Linked DNA regions of Pelodiscus sinensis. The protein of the gene in region 1 interacts with the protein of each later gene in a pairwise test. Links are inferred from orthologs where the notes say so. Each region holds a gene or a part of one and is shown in the gene's direction. Other genes may lie near its edges. The genes, in order: SAR1A and SLC38A7.

The links.
Region 2: the proteins of SAR1A (region 1) and SLC38A7 interact in binary tests that used the Homo sapiens proteins (3 or more experiments, as listed by UniProt). The link is inferred for Pelodiscus sinensis from reciprocal best matches to the Homo sapiens genes SAR1A and SLC38A7.

Annotation. Positions count from the first base shown.
Region 1 is NC_134718.1:32,478,552-32,488,670, forward strand, and holds the start of SAR1A (small COPII coat GTPase SAR1A), read left to right. Parts: upstream 1-6,331; 5' UTR 6,332-6,447; exon of another isoform or gene 6,448-6,536; intron 6,537-9,449; 5' UTR 9,450-9,466; coding exon 9,467-9,524; intron 9,525-10,119. UniProt on the Homo sapiens protein: Small GTPase that cycles between an active GTP-bound and an inactive GDP-bound state and mainly functions in vesicle-mediated endoplasmic reticulum (ER) to Golgi transport.
Region 2 is NC_134722.1:46,524,445-46,534,574, reverse strand, and holds the start of SLC38A7 (sodium-coupled neutral amino acid transporter 7), read left to right. Parts: upstream 1-5,366; 5' UTR 5,367-5,521; intron 5,522-9,423; 5' UTR 9,424-9,613; coding exon 9,614-9,874; intron 9,875-10,130. UniProt on the Homo sapiens protein: Symporter that selectively cotransports sodium ions and amino acids, such as L-glutamine and L-asparagine from the lysosome into the cytoplasm and may participates in mTORC1 activation. The transport activity requires an acidic lysosomal lumen.

The DNA of each region.
Region 1 (10,119 bases):
CTCCTTTCTGTTGTGTACTGTGCTGAGGTGCTGAACTCCCTCCCAGAGCCCACACATCCACTCCCCCTCCTGTTTGGCAATCCCCTGGCCCAGGGCAGAGCCCACCTCCCACACCCAAACTCCCCCTAGCCTGCACCCCTCCTGCATCCAAACTCCAGCCCAGAGCCTGTGCCCCAAACAGGGCTAGGTTAACCTTTTGTGGGCCCTCATAGGGGACATGGAGACATGGGGCAGAGACCTCAGAGCAGTGGTCTCCAGCCTTTTAAAGCACTAGATCACTTTTTGAATGTAAGTGCAATCCAAGATCTACCTCATATATAAATACCCTGGCCCTGCCTCCTTCCTATCCCTTCTCCAAGGCCCCGCCCCTGCTCCCTCTGTCCTCCCTCTCTTGCCTATCCTCACTCACTTTCATCAGCCTGGGACAGAGGGTTGGGGTGCAGGCTTTGGTCTTGGATTAAGGGATCTGGAGTGTGAGAAGGGCTCTGAGCTGCTCTTGGGGCGGGCAGGTGGACGTAGGAGGGGATTCTAGGTGCAGGCTTTGGGAGGGTATTTGGATGCAGGGGTGCTCAGAGCTAGGATAAGGGCTTGGGTACAGGAGGGGGTTCATGACTGGGGTAGGAGTTTGGGATGTGGGCTCCATTTGGGCACTGCTGGTGGCTCCTGGGTGGTGGTGCAGTGGGGCTAAGGCAGGCTCACCCATGCCCTGGCCCTGAACCACTCCCTAAAGCAGTCAGCAAACTGCATCCCTAGTCTTGTTGTGCCCCCTCTCTGCTCCGTGGAGAAAGAATACAGAATGGGAGAGGGGGAACCCTGACATCAGCACCCCTCTTTTCCCTCCTCTGCCCTGCACAGAAAGCAGGAGACTCCCAGGGGAAAGGCTTAGCCAAAGGGCAGGAGGTGCACAGCAGTGGGGGTAAAGGGCAGCTGAAGTGCTGGCACTTGATAGCCTCTTGGCCAAACCCACCAGGATCACCTGTCAGAGGCTCCAAGATCTACCAGTAGATCCCAATCTACTGGTTGGTGACCACTGCCTCAGAGTGAGGGGCTGGCCAGAGGCAATGGGTCATGTTACCGCAGGGACAGCCCTGCTCCACCCAGCTCAGGACAAGGGCACTGTTTACAAACGGGCATCCGCCAGACACACAGTGGCCCTCTGGCCCCGCGCTGCTGCCATCATGCTTCTTCCCTTGGGGGTGGGCCCATGCCGCACTCTGCTACCCCCACCCAGCACCCCTTTGACTCCCTACACCCAGTGCCATACCACCCAGAGACCCCCACAAATCACTATGCCCAGTGCCTCCCACAGATCGCTATGCCCAGCACACCCCCACCCACCCAGTGACCCCCCACAGATCCCTTCACTGCCCAGTGGCCCCCATAGTCCCACCACACAACTGCACAGTGCCCCTCACAGACCCCCCACGCTTCCCAGCGCCCTGATACACACAGATCTGCCCAGTGCCCCAAAAAAACCCCTACTCCCCAGCATCCCAAAACAAACAATCCTTCCCCACTGCCGAGCACTTCCCACCCTCTCACTGCCCAGCACCCCCCCCAGGCCCTCTAGAGACCTATTCTCCCACACCTGGACCCCCCGTCCACAATAGCCAGCCCTGATAGGAGGCGAGGGGCCAGACCCTGCTGTGTGGGTGGGCCTGGTGCCACAGTGCCATTGGCACCATTGTAAACCCGGTAGTGACGCCAAACCAACTCCCTTCTGTCCCTGGTGCTACTTTACTGCTACAGGAGACTTGGTGCAGTGAAATAATTTACCTACATTCCCTCAAACTCTGTGTCACACATTTTGAGAATTTAAAAGAGTCTCTTATCACTCACTATATGTCTACGTGAAGTCTCATAACGGTTTCCAATTTGGTTTTTATCTGCTGTGATTCCCTGAATTGCACTCTCTTCTTGTAAACCATTTTAATTATAGTTTTGCAACTTTAAAAATGTTATTTCTATTACTCTGAACAAGTTGTAATTTATCTGTATTATCACTTTGTAATGCATGTGTGTTTATGTTTTATTTTAATAGCTAATGCTCATCCAAAATTTTAAGTAAGCAGTTGCTATTGGTTTTAGGAATTCCATCTGTGTTTCTGTTTTTGCGGAAAAGTGTCTGTGCCAATCCAGACGCGCTTTTGCACAAAAAAGCTCCGATCTGTCTACACTGGCCCTTTTGCGCAAAAGCTTTGCACAAAAGGACTTTTGCCCGAACGGGAGCAACATAGTATTTCCACAAGAAGCACTGATTTCAGACAGTAGGAAGTCAGTGTTCTTTCAGAGATTCAAGCGGCCAGTGTAGACAGCTGGGAAGTTTTTCTGCAGAAGCAGCTGCTTTTGCGGAAAAGCTTGCCGGTCTAGACACAGCATTCATGTATGTAAAAGGCTGATATTATAAACTGGAGTCAGGTTGGTGCTATGCAAATTTATATAGGAACTGCTAGACTGGCTCAAACCTAGGGTCCACGTAATCCAGTATCTGATGGCTGCAAGTATTAGATGTTGTTGTAGAGAAAGGTGTAAAAAAACCCACAAGAGGCAGATGTGGGCTAATCTGTCCCCCATACGTCTCATCCTATCACCTAATATTGTCTTCAGTCCTGAAATATAAATAGGGGTTTATATTGCTTTCAAAACTCTTTTACAACTGGACATTCTTGTTACTTGTCTGAACATCTACTTCCCCTTTGAATTTTGCTAAATTCTAAGTTTAAAAGTTACCATGTGGCAAATGAGTTCTACTGTCTAACTATATGCAAGTAGAACAATATTTCCTTGTATACATTTTGGCTGCGTCTAGATTGGCATGATTTTCTGGAAATGCTTTTAACGGAAAACTTTTCCGTTAAAAGCATTTTCGGAACAGAGCGTGTAGATGGGCATGGACGCTTTTCTGCAAAAGCACTTGTTGCGGAAAAGCATCTGTGCCAATATAGACACGCTTTTCCGCAAAAAAGCCCCGATCGCCATTTTTGTGATCGGGGCTTTTTTGCGGAAAACAGTACTGTGCTGTCTACACTGGCCCTTTTGCACACAAGTCTTTCGGAAAAAGACTTTTGCCAGAACGGGAGCAGCATAGTATTTCCGGAAAAGCACTGACAATCTTACATGAGATCGTCAGTGCTTTTGCGGAAATTCAAGCGGCCAGTGTAGACAGCTGGCAAATTTTTCCGCAAAAGCAGATAATTTTGCGGAAAAACTTGCCAGTCTAGACACAGCCTATGTGTATTATATTGTGTCATCTTACATCCTTCCCAAAGGCAAAAATCTTTTGCAACAATGGAGGTTTGGGCTGATGAGCAGTGGCTGCAAAACTTTTGGATGCTCAAGTCCACATTCCTGCATCTGTGTGTAAAACTCACCAAAATAAAAGCTATACTGACAACTGAGAAGCAAATATAGATTGCATTATGGGGGCCTGCAACACCAGATTCTTATTGGTCAATAGGCTTACCAGGTAGGTTTAGAAAAAATACTGGACACACTTGATGGGGGTGTGTGTGTAGTGCAGTTAGCCTGGGGCATGTCTACACTGCCACCCTTGTTCGATCTAGGGTGGTTAATGTAGGCAACCGAAGTTGCAAATGAAGCCCAGGATTTAAATATCCCGGGCTTCATTTGCATCTTGCCGGACGCCACCATTTTTAAAGCCCCGGTAGTTCGGACTCCGTGCCAGCGCAGCACGGAGTAGGTAGTTCGGATTAGGCTCTCTAATCCGAACTATCGGTACAGCTCGTTCCAGGAGGCTTGCTGAGGCCTGTGGGGGTAATGCATCAGAACTAGCCAATTCACTACCCTCACGCCGCAACACCGGCCTGGAGGCACCGCCACTAGCACCCCACAGTGTGGGAGAAAACAGGGCCTGACCTGACCCCCAGTGCAAGGAATCCACTTGAGGGAGGGCCCTAGCACCAAAATTTCACTGGTGCTCAGGAGGCTACAGGGCCTTTCTAGGGGGCACTGGCTCCAGTTCAGTCCCACGGCAGGGGGCACGGGCTGACTCACGGAGGTATGGATGGGCTCTGGAGAGCCGTCCCTTCTAGAGGGCACCAGCCTCCGTCTAACCCCATGTGGCAGTATAGTATCACAGAACACTAGAGCTGGAAGGGACCTCAAGAGATCATCAAGTCCAGTCCCCTGCCCTCACAGCAGGACCAAGCACCCAGGGCTGCTCAATACATGGCCCATGGGCTGCATGCTGCCCATGGCCAGTTTGTTTGCGCCCTGCAGTGCAGTTTGGGTTTATGTGGGGATCAACACGTGGCCGGCGAGTGGGAACCAAAACCAAAAAAGTAGTCAGTGTAATGATCTTCTGTTGAGATGAGTTTTAGTAGTTCCAAAGTTGAGTTGCCCTAGCTCATCCCTGACAGGTGTCTGTCTAACCTGGTCTTAAATATCTCCAGTGATGGAGATTCCGCAATCTCCCTAATCAATTTAATCCAGTGCTTAACCACCCTGACAGGCAGGAATTTTTTCCTAATGTCCAACCTAAACCTCCCTTGCTGCAATTTAAGCCCATTGCTTCTCTTCCTAACCTCAGAGGCCAAGGAGAACAATTTTTCTTCCTCCTCCTTATGATACTCTTTTAGATACTTGAAAGCTGCTCTCATGTCCCTTTTCGGTCTTCTCTTTTCCATGGTAAACAAGGCCAATTCCTTCAGCCTTGCCTCATATCTCATGTTCTCTAGACTTCTCATTATTTGTGTTGATCTTCTCTGGACTTTCTCCAGTTTCTCCACGTTTCCTGAACTGTGGCGCCCAGAACCGGACATGATACTCCAGCTGGGGCCTAATGTAGATGGCTCATTCCCTGCCTAGGGGACGTAAGACTGGGTGGGTGAATTTCCAGTCCTCCTGTGTATGCTTTTCTTAAGCCAGAAGGGCTCAGTGGTTTTGATGGGGGACCTGCAGGAAGGCAGCCCGCACTGCCCCCTGCCTGAAACCTTCTGCAGGTGTTAAACAGCTGTCCAGCCCACCCTAGAGGTGACTGCATTTCAGCGTGCCTGTAGCAACACAGCACCAGCAATGGACAGGAGAATGGCTCCCGGGCATGGCTTGCTCATGACTGCTTCAGTCCCATTGGATGGGCCTCTGCCTCTTTCCGTCCCCTCCCCCGCTTTGCAATGGGGCTGTAGAGTCTGGGGGAGAGTGGTGGAGGCAGGCAGAGGTGTCTCCCTGCAGCAGATATAGACACATCTCTGTATTAATCATTCTCTCATTGAAGTTTTTAGCTTTGTATTGAGTCCTTTTACATGAAAACTTTGTATTATGTCTTGGTAGAATAGTCCCTAGGACAAGTGAGGCAGAGACTGTCCCTGTGGGGTGAATGAGGTGGGACTGTATAAGGCAGAAGGTGAGCACCTCTGGGCAGTTGCGAAGGTTGGAGAGGGGATGGAAGCCAAGATCAATGAGCCCTGGGAAGTGGGCCCATTGAAAGAAGACTGGACCTGTGGATGCTGTGGGGGTCAGCAGCAAGGGCCTGCTTTGGGAAGCCCCCTCTTTGGAGGTGAATGTGGCAGCACTGAGACACCACCGAGAAGCAGGTGCCAGAGACACTAACTGCAGATGCATGGGATGGCCTTCTCAGAGCTAGCACATGAATAAGATGACAGATCTGCAGGAGGGGGGACAGTGGCATAGCAAGGGGGCCGGAAAGATCAGTTGCCCCTGGGCACCATGCTAGGGAGGCGTCAATTTAATCCCATTCTGCTCCCCATCATCCCTCAGCTCACGTGCTCCTCCTCCGCCTGCCACCGGCAGCTGGAGCCTCCTTCCTGCCTCTCTGCTCCAAGCCCAACCCTCCTCCATCTCCACCAGCAGGTTAGTGCACGGGGGAGCCCGGCCTCAAACTATAGGGGGTGGGGGAAGATGCGGTACAAGGAGCAACGGGTGAGTGTTTTCGACCACAGAACCCATCCCTCCGAATGTGCAACCCCTGGAGCAGGTGTCAGAAGAGGGAGCGCGTTGTGAGTGTTCTGGAGCAGGGACCCCGTCCCTGAGCATTCGCAGCCCCTGGACCAGGTAGCGAGTCCTGAGCAGTAGCCCACAATTTCACGTTTGCATGGCAGAAACCCCAACGAGGCGCAAAAAATGGGGGTTTCAGTTTTCTTCGCGGCACCTGGCCCATGTCCCAGGCAGCCCCGGGCTTAGCGACTCAAAGGGCAGCCTGGAGCTCAGCTGCCCCCAGCGGCAGCGCTGACCCACCCCGCTGCCAGGACACCCCTGCGCGCCTGCGCCCTCTGCTGCCGGAGCCGGCCTCTGACGCCCAGCCCCGAAGCATCAGGGGAGGGGCTAAAACCTGCGCCCAGCACCGTGACACGTCACCGCGCCGTAACCGCACGCAGCGCGCTAGCCAGCGCGGCGGACCCATCCCCGGAAGTAGCCGAGCGAAGAAGTGCTACGTATTTCCGGCGTGTAGCTGGCGGTTGCCGACTCCGAGTAAGTGAGTGAGGACCGACGCCTGTGGAGGGATCGCGGCCCAGGTCGGCCATAGAGGGGCGAGGCGGGTGCTGCTGCTGCGCGGGGAGGTGAGGGGCGGCCAGCTGGCCGGGGCTAGTGGAGGGGGTGCTGGGCCGTGGGCTGGTTCGGTGGGGGAGGGGAGCCGAGTGACACGCAGTCGGTTTGGGTGGGAGCCGCTACGCGGGGGGGAGGGGTGACGCCGGGGCGGGCTGCTCTGCCGTAGGATGGGGGGGGGGCAGGGGAAAACAGACCTGCTGTGGGGCTGATGTCCGGCTCCCTTCCACGTACGCTGTCGGGGCCCCCCTCACTTAGCCTGGGCCTGCGGGTCTAGGGCAGCGGGTTTCCGCTCCCGCCGGTGTCCTGGAGCTGTCACGCGGCGGGCGGACCTTCACAGTCAGTCCAGGACATGGGGCCTTTGAATCAGGGACCTGGGCGCGGACGAGTACACGGGCAGGCGCCCCGGGGAGCTTTGCCCCCGTGGCAGGTACTTCACCCCATCTCCATTTAGTGTTTCTTCACGCAGGATTTCTACATCCTCTTCAGGCACCTGTGATTCAGAATTATGTTTGTTGTGTTACATTTAGTTATGTGAGAATTTGCCCCTCCTGCAGTTGCTTTAATTTTTGAGGCACTGTCAGTAAGATGGGCTAACCTTGAGCCACAACATTACTTATGGCAACAGTACTAGGCATGTGAAAGGTAACCAGTAAGCATCTCCCTAAATGGATAATGCTTACTGGTTCCAGGTAACTGGTGGGGGCTGCAGCAGCTCCCTCCCTCCCCTCCCCCCCTCTCCCTCCCTGCCACAGATGGGCTGATCTTGAGTCCGGAGCAGCCTCTCTCTGCAGGGAGCCCAGGCACCTTGCAGTCAAGGACTGCTCTAGCAGAAGCCCCCAATGCAGGGCTGTGAGCCAACAGCCAACTCTAGCATGAGGTTGGGGCTGGAGCCCAGTGGGCTGAGGGCTGCTCCAGCCAGGTTGGAGCATTCCCCAGCTGGGATTCTGCTTAGTCAGATAACCAGTTAAATATTATGTCAACCTAATGTTTAACCAGTCAACTGATTAACTGGAATTTTACATTCCTAAACAGTACTAGCTGAAACTTCAAAATGCTCCTCCTGTGATTGGCACTTAAAAATCACTGCTGACTTACAAGCCCCACTTTGGACTAAAGACAACCAAATGAAAGTATTATGGATGGGTGGTTAACTTGCAGGTCCCCTTGTGATACTTGATCTTTTCCTAAGGATCGTTTTGCATTGTAGCTTTGGAGAGATAAAACCTAGACTGGGGATCTGATTTGTGTTTCACTTTCATTCTGAGTGCTACTGAAATGTGAGGGTGAACTTTTTATGTACTTCAGAGTCAACCATACTTTTATAAAGATTGATCTAATGCGGGGATTCTCAGATTGGGTAGCAATCCCATTATGGGGTTGCCAAGGCAGCCATTAGATTTGCTGAGGCCCCAAGTGTGGAGCTGAAGCCCAATCTCAAGGGCTTCAGCTCTGGGTGGTGGGGTTGCAGCACTTGAGCTTCAGCTTCGGTTCCGCCCCGCTCCCCCTCCCACATATGCGCACATCTCTTCCAAGACACCAGGGTTGGGCAGGCTCAGGCCTTGGTTCCCCTCTCCCCCATGGTTATGTAGTACTTTCTGAGGTCAGGAGGAGGTCGCAGTGAGAACCCCTTGTCTAATGGAATTCTGATTTTCCAGATATGTAGAAACTATTTACATTGTGTGACCAAAACGGATCCAATTTATTACTGCACCAAAGAGAGTGTGGTAATGAGCATGATAGCTAAAAGAAGCAGGTACAGACATATAATTCAGGAAGCAGCTAAAAGAGTGAAATAGATAAAAATGAGCAGCTATATGTTAACATAGACATTAGTGGGATATGTCCTGGAATGGCTGTTAGTACATCAACTCCACGGCTGTGTCTAGATTGCCGTGACCTTGAGCAAAAGCAGTCGCTTTTGCGCAAAAACTTGCTGCCTGTGAGTTCTTTCGCAAGTACATTGACGTTCTCATGTATGAAATCAGTGCTTCTTGCGTGAGAACTCTGATGCTCCTGCTCAGGAAGAAGCCCTCTTGTGCAACTGTTCTTGTGCAAGAGGCCAGTGTAGACAGGCAACATAAATTTCTTGCACAAGAAAGCCCCATGGTTAAAATGGCCATCAGAGCTTTCTTGCGCTAGAGAGCATCTACACTGGCAAGGATGCTCTTGTGCAAAAGCACATGCCAGTGTAGACGCTTTCTTCTGGAAGAGTTTTTGCACAAGAACTCTTTCGCAAAAGAGTTCTTGCGCAAGATCATGCCAATGTAGACGTAGCCCACTGGTACATATAGCTGCAGTTGATAATGCCATCTTTAGAAGAGAGCATGTTGATCTAAAGTGAAAATGTTTGAAAATGTTCAGGGATCTTTAACGTCATCCAAAATAGGAACCATAACCTTCTTTCAACTCCAATAACATTTAGACAACAAATATGAATTCTGCCTTTTGGTGCAGAGGCAAGTATACCATTAACTTGGTTTGGTAAACCTGTGAATAGACCACTCCAATAACCACCTATTTTTTTTATCACAGTCAAATACTGTCAAATCATAGCAAGCATACCCTGATGTAGGTGGCAGTCTACCTTTATGACTGCAACATGGTCTTTCTTTCTATCTTTCTTAACTTGATGATCAACATTTTTCTGAGATAAAGTAACTCAATTAAGTAATGTTGGTGTAATTAGTCATGTGTATCTATCTAAGGGTAAACATGTTGGAGTCGATGAAGTTTTACTTTTTTTGCTGCTATGGTTCTTTAAAATGTTGTGTTAAAATATTTGATTGTTCTTAACATTATTTGTCCAGTCAATTGACCACTTACTTGTGGACCTGTCAACTCCTCTCTCGTACTACAGCCTGAATCTTGCTGGGATATGGCATAAAGTTTTTACTGATAAATGTCTCATGTTTATTTTCTTGCAGGCAACTAATCTTCAACCATGTCTTTCATTTTTGAATGGATTTACAATGGCTTCAGCAGCATGTTGCAATTTTTAGGTAATATTTCAAATGTGTATTCACCAACAAACATAAATTGTTGATTTAACTAAAAAGATTTTAAATTCTGATTAAATCAGTGCAAATGCTAAACCGAAACATAATTATTACTTAAATTAGTTCAATTTATTAACTTACTGACATAAAATATCCCTTTTTAATAAGACTTGCACTCGCTTGAGTGCATCTACATTAAGCCTTTGCACTGCTTTTAATTAGATGAGATTAAAATCTCGTTAAAAAATAAGTTTAAACAGATGCACCTTTTATAGTACAGTTAACTCTCTTCCTGAACTTAATAGTACATTAGATTTTCTCTCCTGTTTTATAATAACAAAAAAATTGGTGAAATATTGGAGTAGTACAATTTATACTTACTTTTTTTTTTAAATTCGACGTGGGCCTAGCTTCTCTTATTACTTAGATTTTTGAAAATGAAACATCCATAAAATGTTCCTTTCCTTTTTCTAGGTGAACCCTGCATGTTCTTCTACTGTGTAGTAATCTGATGCAGTCTATAATGAAGATACTCTCTCCTTCCATGAAACTTTTGAGACATCTAATTTTTTGATTGTCTGCATGGCTATTTGTCTGA
Region 2 (10,130 bases), on another chromosome or scaffold:
GGGCATATGCAGCTACATAGTGTACCATTACATTTGGGTCACTAGGTGCCCCAAATTTAGTAATGCCTTAGGCTGTGTATGCCTAGGAACAGTCATCCCCCTCCCCATGGGCTCAGTGACAGGGTTCTGGCAGCTCCCGCCAGCCCCAGCTCCTGGCTGCTTCTCCCTCCCCACTACATGGGCTGCACCTAGCCCCCACTTACCAGGTGGCAGTGAGCAGCAGGGTGAGCATAGGTCCAAGGACTCAAGAGAAGCTGAGGGTGGCCACACAGCTGGAGAGAAGCAGTGGTTTACCGTTCTCTCTGGCCAGCTATGCGGCCGTCCTATGCTCCGCCTGAGTTCTCCTCCAGCCCATGGTCCATGCCAGCCACCTGCTGCCCTGAGATGCAAGTGAGCGTCCCTCCCTGCCCTGCTCAGGGGTTGCCCACTCTCCCAGACCAGCCAGATTTGCAACAGACTGGTTGATCATTGCCTTTGGTTGCTTTTTTTACATGCACATTGTGGCTGTGTCTACACTGGGCCACTTATTCCGGAAAATCAGCCGCTTTTCCGGAATAAGCTGCGAGCTGTCTACACTGGCCCTTGAATTTCTGGAAAAGCAACGACGCTCTACTGTACAAAATCAGCCGCTATCCCGGAAAAGCTACGCTGCTCCCGCTCGGGCATAAGTCCTTATTCCGGAACACTGTTCCGGAAAAGGGCCAGTGTAGACAGCCCAGTAGTCTTTTCCGGAAAAAAGCCCCGATCGCGAAAATGACAATCGGGGCTCTTTTCCGGAAAAGCACGTCTACATTGGCCACAGATGCTTTTCCGGAAAAAGGGCTTTTCCGGAAAACATCCTGCCAATGTAGACGCTCCTTTTCCGGAAATACTTATAACGGAAAACTGTTCTGTTTTAAGCACTTCCGGAAATTCCTGCCAGTGTAGACACAGCCTGTATGTTTACTAACCACGGAAATGGGAATAAACTATTTGCCAGAAAAAAGTTGGCCAAGGAATGAAGCTTTGACACCCCCCCCCCCCCCAGGAGCCGCCTGAGGTGAGCAGAGTCCAGCTGAGCCAGAATCCCAAGCCCCTGCCCCCGTCAAGAACCCCTCTTCCACCCCAAGCCCCTGTCCTAGCCCGGAACCCCTTGCACCCAAACTCCCTTGCAGAGCCTGTCCCCTGACCCCTCCTCCACCCCAACTGCCTGCCCCAGGCTCAGCCTAGAGCCCCCCTCACACGCCAAATCCCTTCCCCCAAGCCCGGAGCCTGCGCCCCGTTCGGTCCCGTTGCCGGGGTCGGCCCGCCCAGGGGGCCTCGGCGCGGGGAGCCGGGACTCGGCCACGCACCCCGACCTGGGGGGGGGGCGGCGATGAAGCCGCCCCGCCCGCCGCCTGCTCCTGGGCCTCCCGGCCCCACCCCAGCACCCGCAAGCGGAGGCTCCCTCCGGGCCACGGCCCCCGCCTAACGGCTCCGCCCTCCGCAGCCGGACGAAGCGCTCGGGGGACCCCGCTCTCCCCGGGCCCTGCCCCCAGGCTGCGGCCGCTCCTCACCTTCTCCCCGCGGTCAGAGGCGGCGCCCGGCACCCCGCTCCCTCCGGCCTCATCCCGCGGGGCGCGCTCAGGGCCAGGCCGGTGGCTCCAGGCGCCTCCCGGGGACGGGTCGCTAGGCCCGTCTCCATGGCGACAGCTACGGCGCGGCGCAAGGACCAAAGCGCGCAGTCGATGGGATGGCTCCGTGCAGGCGGCGCGCGCCGGGCCTTGTTACAGGCGGGGCAGCGTCACTTGCTCCCCCTCCACCAGTTTCACCAGGGCTGAGCCCCGCCCCCCAGAGACCCTCCCCACTGCTCTGAGACCCCCACCCACCTTAGCCCCAAGACCCTGACCCACTGCCCGGAGACCCCCACTGCCCCGCACCCTGAGATCCCCACTCTGCTCAGCCTGACCCACTGCCCCTACAGCCAGTGCCCCCCCCAGAGACCCTCCCCACTGCTCTGAGACCCCCACCCACCTTAGCCCCAAGACCCTGACCCACTGCCCGGAGACCCCCACTGCCCCGCACCCTGAGATCCCCACTCTGCTCAGCCTGACCCACTGCCCCTACAGCCAGTGCCCCCCCCAGAGACCCTCCCCACTGCTCTGAGACCCCCACCCACCTTAGCCCCAAGACCCTGACCCACTGCCCGGAGACCCCCACTGCCCCGCACCCTGAGATCCCCACTCTGCTCAGCCTGACCCACTGCCCCTACAGCCAGTGCCCCCCCCAGAGACCCTCCCCACTGCTCTGAGACCCCCACCCACCTTAGCCCCAAGACCCTGACCCACTGCCCGGAGACCCCCACTGCCCCGCACCCTGAGATCCCCACTCTGCTCAGCCTGACCCACTGCCTCTACAGCCAGTGCCCCCACTCCCTCTACTCGCTGAGACCCCTCACCCATGACTCGCTGCCCAACATCCCCTCCACCCCAACCCGCAGCCCCTCCACCCCTGACTTCACCACCTCCCGCACCCTCTGCCTCTGCCTACCAACACCCCCACATCCCTACCTTCCTGAAAAGCTCCCCCTTTGCCCCTACTTTGATGCCTGCTAGGATCTCTAAATCTGTGAATCTGTATTCAGGCAAGCAAATAACAGTTGTTTCCTTGAAGCTGATAGATAGCTTTCAAAATGGTTTCCTCCAAGAACTTCTATACTGGTACAATTGCCTCCATACCAGTGATGTACTGTTTTAAGGCTTTCTGTTCCCGAACGGATTTGATGAAACCAAATGAAAACTCTGTGTGTGGACCAGCCCTAAGGGATTTTGTTCAATTTTTAGCCACCAGCTGCGTGTTTTCAAACTGTCTGATCCCTTGCAAATTATTAACAAGGTAGGTATTCTGGAGAGCAAACAGAAGTGCTGGGAAAAGGCCTCCTGTACATGACTTGATGGCCAGAGGAGGCAGTTTGAGGGGGGAGATTGTTACAGAATACCAGCCTCTGCTGCCTCCAGAGAGATGTTCAGTGATGTGTGAGAGATCTGTGAGGAGAAAACATCAAGGCCATTTACTGTACATACTCACAAAGATAGACACAATTTCCATCCGTGCTTGGAAAGGTTTCAAGACTCCAAACCTCAGAGTGAAACATTCTGAAGGGAATAACAGCTGACAGGATGTGTGTATAGGCAGCTAGTATTATGGGCCCAAGGTGCTCCAGCACCAGGAATCTTCAAGGTTCGGGGCTGGGGTCCATCAAAACTCACTGTCTACCTGCGTTCCCAGCCCCTAGCATCCTCCAGCCCCTCCTGCAACCCTTACCCATCTTCCGGCCTTACCTGCTTCCCCTCTGGTGATTTAAAATGTCTGGAGGTGTTAGCAGCATAGCTGGGTAAGAGCAGCTGTTAGCCACTCGCTTGTCCTGGCTGTCAGCATTTGTGTCCCTGTAGTCGAGACTGGGAAGGCCACCGTAATCCAGTGGCATTTTATATTCTGTGCTGTAACGGATCAAATAAGCTGCCGAGCAACAGAGGATGAGGCCCAGGGCCAAGTGCAACAAAAAAGGGTAGAGCAAAAACCTGAGCGGTGCTGAGCATTGACATCTGCCATAGAAGCCAATGGGCAATGCAGACGCTCAGCACTGAGGTCCTAAATTTGCAAACACAAATCATTTTACAGGCTGCCCCCAACTGGCGACACGATCGGTTCCGGAGATAGTGTTGCAAGTCGGGGGTGTCGTAACTTGAATCCACATTTACGACAGGTGTCGTACGCTGTCATAAATGTGGGGCCAAGGTTGTAAGTTGGGGGATTTCAGCCCGTTCTGCACTTATGGAAAAGGTCATAATTGTGGGAGGTCATAAATTGGGCCATCGCAAAGCGGAGGGCCTCCTGCATTCACATGAGTCATTGCAATAAAGCCAGCGGAGACTTGTGACCAAACTTAAAAGTTTTCTGAAGTTATCGTGCCATTACTTTAAACAAATCTTTCCCTTCCACTCCCCCACCTCATAGACCAGCCTCTACAAAAGGGTTGTTTTTTTTCAGTGGCTCTAGGGGCACATGTATGCCCTCCACCACCAGGCCCCTCTCCACCGCCGCCTGGGCAAAAGCCTCCGAGAAAAGGAGAACACTACCTTCCCATACATTTTGGTGGCCGCCACCATGGCCAAGGACCCTACCACCCTCGCCAATGCCTGCACGTATGTTTTGAGGTGGGGCAAGGCGGGGACCAGGAGGCAGCAGACGCAGGGTGGGGAAGGGGCCCAGGATGGAGCTGGAGGTGAAAGTGGCAGCACGTGGAGGGCGGCAGTGGTCACCTGGGCGTACACTCTGGGGACTGCAGGTGGATCACCCCCACAGCTGGTGGGGGAAACGGCAGGGGAAGGAGGGTGGTGTTTGTCAGTGAGGAGCTGGCCTGCCCTACTTGGCTGGAGACCAACCGGTTAAGTAGTAGTTCTGTAGAAAAGGACCTGGGGGTTACAGTGGATGAGAAGCTGGATATGAGTCAACAGTGTGCCCTTGTAGCCAAGAAGGCTAATGGCATATTAGGGTGCATTAAGAGGAGCATTACCAGCAGATCCAGAGATGTCATCATTCCCCTTTATTCGGCTTTGGTGAGGCCGCATCTGGAGTATTGTGTCCAGTTCTGGGCCCCCCACTACAAAAAGGATGTGGACACAATGGAGAGGGTCCAGCAGAGGGCAACCAAAATGATTAGGGGGCTGGAGCATATGACCTATGAGGAGAGGCTGAGAGTCTTGGGTCTGTTTAGTTTGCAGAAGCGAAGAGTGAGGGGGGATTTGATAGCAGCCTTCAACTTTCTGAAGGGAGGTCCCAAAGAGGATGGAGAGAGGCTGTTCTCAGTAGTGACAGATGGCAGATCAAGGAGCAATGGTCTCAAGTTGTGGTGGGAGAGGTCCAGGTTGGATATTAGGAAAAACTATTTCACTAGGAGGGTGGTGAAGCACTGGAATGGGTTCCCTAGGGAAGTTGTGGAGTCTCCATCCCTAGAGGTGTTTAAGTCTCCGCTTGACAAAGCCCTGGCTGGGCTGATTTAGTTGGAAATGGTCCTGCCTAGAGCAGGGGGCTGGACTTGATGACCTTCTGAGGTCTCTTCCAGTTCTATGATTCTATGATTCTACTTAGTCTCTTCCAAAAAACCTGAGGCTATGAATACAAAGGCTCAGCACACAGCTGTGTGGCAAGATCTGAAACCTGAGTTGCCTTGTTTATCCACCCCCAGCTGGCTTGCAGGAAGCGAGGTGGGGGTGGAAAGCTTGACAATGGTGCTGACAGGGGAACACTGCGGCCGGCCGTGGAATGCAGAAGGAAACCCCAAATCTGGCTGAAGGGCTAACGCTGAGCCACCAAGCAGGAAATGACTCGTGGAGGAGGGACCAGGCCGCTGAGAGTCAGCTGTGGCGGGGAGAGAACTACAGTTCCCAGCGTGCTGTGCGCTGGGCGGCTGCACGTGGGGCTTAATCATCTGGCCCGGGCGCTGGAGCCGGTGCGGAGAAGCAGGAGAGACCGTGGGAGGCTTTTTCGTCCCTTTCCCCAGGTATGAGGACACCGGGGGCTGGTGGATGAATGAGCCGAGCAGCCCCAGAAAGGGCTGCGGTGCCCGTATGAAGGAGCCTCCTTCCCTCCCCCCCCCAGGGGTGGGTTTCCACCCCGGAGCCCTCGCCCAGCTCAGCCCGTCTTCCCACCCCCTGGTAGGCATCAGTGCAGGCGCCCTCAGGCAGTGGCCTTCTCCCCATCGGGCTCTGGAGCAGCTGCAGGATCATCTCCCTGTCGGGGCGGTACAGCCAGGCTGCAAACCCTGCCACCACCCATGCACCTGCATGCTTCGGTGGCTGCGTCCCTGTGACACCTCTGCTGCCGTGGGGGCTGTGGCCCCTTGCCGTCCTGGTACCCACGGAGGGCGTGGTGCAGGCTCTGTGCTCGCCCTTCCCTGTTCTTTTGTCCCCTTGCTGTATGCTAGCGGGGCTGCCCTTTCTCCAGCCAGCATGCAAACGGCGGGTTGTTTTTTTGCCTGGCTGGCGTTTTCCTACTGTAGGCTGTGTATGACTGGGCTCTGGTGACTGTCAGCAGTGGCTCTCTCCTGGGTTATCACGTCCCTGTTGTCAGCACGTTTCAGGGTTAAACTCCTCCACAAGGAAGTTTCTGTGGGTCGGGTAGTTCTGCTTAATGGAGTCACAGGAATCCTCCATTGAAAGCAGACGGCTAGTCCCAGAAACTTGATTGTCCTGGCTGTAAGCAGATGCCACCTGCTTTGTAGGAAGGACTGATCCTCTCTAACACGCCGGATGGGCTGTGCCATCTTGCCTGAGGGGTTAGTGGGGAAGAAGTCGGGAATGGAGAACATTTATTCCTGACCTGCGGTCTGCCGGCTTGTGTATTGCAGTAGGCAAGGCAAAGGCAATCTGCTGGGCTCCTTCCTTCAGCTCAGTAGAAACCCTCTTCTCTGCACCCTGCTACCATGATTCTTGCAAGGACTGGCCCTGGGGGAAAACTTCCTCCAAACCTTAAATGGCAATACGTTCTATACTAATCATAAAGATTGACTGAGAGCCTTCTCACAACTTCCTAGTTACCCTACAAGTGTGGGTCTTGTCCGGGGATGTGTCTGGTTTAATAAGCTTCAGAAGAAAAGTATTCCTCTCAGCACTGCCCTGGATCTGTGAGTTTCACTGGTTAACCATGTCCTGGGATAGAAGTTACTTATGAGCTTGTCCTCAATCAGCTGTCTCACCCTGATCTGCTTAACAGTCACAGGGATGAGATGTTTGAAATAGCTCTCAGTTGCGTGAGGAGGCACTTCCTCTATGCTGAGTGTAGTGTTCCTAGACAGCCACTTTCCTTGTTAACAGAAAAACGGTGCGGAGGACGTAAAGATCAACTCTCAGCTTCCTCCAGGCCTGGCTGCTCTTTAGGCTCCTCCCACAGGACTGCTCAGCCCATACCCAGGATCCTCTTTCCCTGTAGACCCCTTCCCAACTTGCATATACTAGACATCTGCCTTAGTATTTAACCCCATCCCTGAAAGATCTATAGCCGCTCACAGGGCTGAGATGAAATACTTCTGGCTTGCTAATTTGATGGTTGAGCTTTGTTTCCTCTAATCCTGTGCTATAATGCTGATGCTGCAGGTTGAGCTGCACATAATGTAGGACCCTGGAGTGACAGAGCTGGAAGCTTATTTTAGTAATAGTTGGGTGTTCGTTGATGATCCCAAGACAAAGCAAACTCCAGTTTGCTCCTCGCTCCTCTCTGTGTTCCCTAGTTCCTGAACAGCCCAAAAATAAGCTGAATAAATGCAGTGTAGCACTCTGAAGTGCACCCATTGTTACTTTTTTGTGGTAGAAGTAGTGGTGTATCACTTGCCTCATACTGTAAAGGTTAATCTGGTAAGTGTGTGGGGCCGATGAAGGACAGTATAAAGATACCATGTGAAGCCCTCTTTGCAGTCAGAGATAAAAATTCTTTGTTATTCCTAAAATCTTTGGAAACCTCTTTTTGAAGCTGATGAAATTTCATAAATAGATCTATTGTTATGGTGATCACACAAGGTAAATTAGCGTTCCTTTTTCTAAAAGCTATGAACGTGGTCATGAATGCACTAAACCTCTGTGACCAATTAATTTAAAATAATGTCTTTATTTCATTGAGTTAATACGTAGTAATCGGGAAGGATGACTTTATGAAGGCTTAAGAGTATGTTTAAAATATAAAGTTATTTTAGAAATCCTGATGAAGAAAATGTAAATCAGAGATGAGCTGAATCATGAATTCCATTAACAATTAACGTTGTATTCAGCAGGACAGCTGACTTGCTCTTACTACAAAGTGTTTGCAGATAAATCTCTGACAAGCTTCAGGGTATTTAAAAAAAAAAAAAATCTGTGACTGACATATTTTATTCCCAAATTGAGTGCTTTTAATTAAATGCCTTCTGCACTTTCCATCTTCACCATCTGACATGCAGTGAAAACCGTGCTCTGTTTTTTTTAAAAAGGAAATTGTCGAAGAGCTGTGGGTTTTGTTTTGTTTTTCAAATTTGCTTTGTTTGGGTTTAGAGATTTGGGTGGAAGGAAGGGGGAGTGAAGAGAAAAGGGAGATAGTCGGTGGGGAGGGGGTGGATTTTCTGAACTGTAGACCTAGGAGCCCTAGAAGTGAATTGAGGCCTCTTTGTGCTGGGTGCTGTACAAACACAGACCAGAAAGATGCTCTCTGCCCCAAGGAGCTTACAGTCTCATCTCTTGCCTCTGTCTTTGGCATCTCCCCTTTGAGCACGGGCAATAGCTCTTAGCATAAGGGGAGGATTTCATAGATTTGTGCATCTCTGAGCTCCAGAGCTGAGGGTCTTCCACAAAAGTTGGGATCTCCAAACTAGCAATGACTTAGCGGTGTCCTTTTGGGATGAGTGTGGAAAGCTGATGCATGGAGAGTCAAGTGCCCCTCCGGATTTCTTCTTCACTTGCCAGGGGTGAGGGAAAGAATCTCACAGCTCCCTGAAATGCTCGGACCCTGACCTCGACCCTGGGGCTCGGTGGGGAACGGAAGGGGTGGGACCAGCCATTGCCAGGGAGAGCAGCTGAACGCGTCCTAGCAGAGGGACAGACCTCACCTTCCCGTACCCACACCCTGCAGGTAACTGGTGGGGCAGGGCAAGCCTGGTAGCCCCAAGCTGGATGCGGGGCAGGGAAGGTGCTGAGCAGAGGAGACACACGGGGCCCCCCTCTTAGATTCTGGCCCGCCCAGGATGGGAAAGGGTGAGTTGCCTGTGGGAGAGGTGGCTGTCACCGCCCCCACGCGTTCAGAGGCGCTCCCTCCGCTCAGCATGACATGAGCAGACAGACCCCGCTGGCCTCTCGTCCGGGCTTGCCCTGAACTTTGTCCCAAAGGCACACAAGGGCTTTTGCTGCGTTTGTAGAAACGTGGGGTGGAAATAAGGAAGCTGGCTTTGAAATGCAGTGTTTGAATGAGTTGTCATCAAGAGGCCGCGGCTTCACAGCCCTGTGGCTTGACGCTCTGGTGAGTCGCGTGACCGGTGCAGTGTAGCTTCCTCCGTGCACCCACCCGCCACCCTGCCTGGTCTCTGACCGAGGGGGGGGCAATTGTTCGGAGATGGAGAGGCGCTCTCTGGCCGTCCAACCCCAGGCTCTGCCAGCTGAGACAAAGGTGACCAGTTGCGATGACGTCCAAAAATCCAGCTCGCGCAAGCCAAGAGCTGCACCACGACTCCTAGCTGACCGTGGATCTGGGCTGTCCAGCTCAGGCCGGAAGAATCGGAGGTCCCAGTGCGAGTTCCTGCTCCTCACAACACACCCGTGATGCAATGTCCATGTCGATGAGAGGTTACGTTGTGCAATAGCTGTTAGGACAGAAGAGGAGTGTTGGTCCAGCAGGTTTATTTTTGCATCCAGTTGGTGGTGATGTTCCCCTCTGCTCCTTTTCTAGGTGCAGAAAAGGAGCCTGAACTCTGTGCCTGGGGCCATTCGGCCGAGGCCCCCAGCGCCAGAAGCGGGAGAATGGGTCTGCCTGCTTTGTGACCTGGAGGAGGCTGGGCCGGAGGGAGTGTCTGTGGGCTGGGGCGGGGATGAGGCGGTAGGGGACCCGGCGAGCGGGCAGGGTGCTGCCGGACGGAGACATGGCCCAGCACAATGTGGGGATCAACAGTGAGTACTGGGACTGGAGCGCGGACGCCGGGGAGCGGGCCAGGCTGCTGCAGAGCCCCAACGTGGAGACAGGGCCCAAGAGCGATGAGGGGCAGGGACCTGGCGCGGGGAGCACCTCCACCCTCGGGGCCGTCTTCATTGTGGTGAACGCCGCCCTCGGGGCTGGGCTGCTCAACTTCCCTGCGGCCTTCAGCACGGCGGGCGGCGTGGCAGCAGGGATCGCGCTGCAGATGGTGAGTCCGCCGGGCGTGGGGGAGGGGCTATCGGTGGCCTGGGCGTCCCTGCAAGAGAGCACGGAGCATCGTAGGGATGTCACGTGCAGTCGACGATGCGGTTAGTTATCCGATGAGCCTGGGTTTATTGGTTAATCTTGTCGAAGACTCGCATTTCCCCCCTCCCTCCTTGCTGCCTCGGACAGAGGCAGCAAGGGGTGAGGAGCGGGAGCTGGTGCCTCTGAGGAGCTGGCTTAAAAGCCGGCTCCCCATGAGC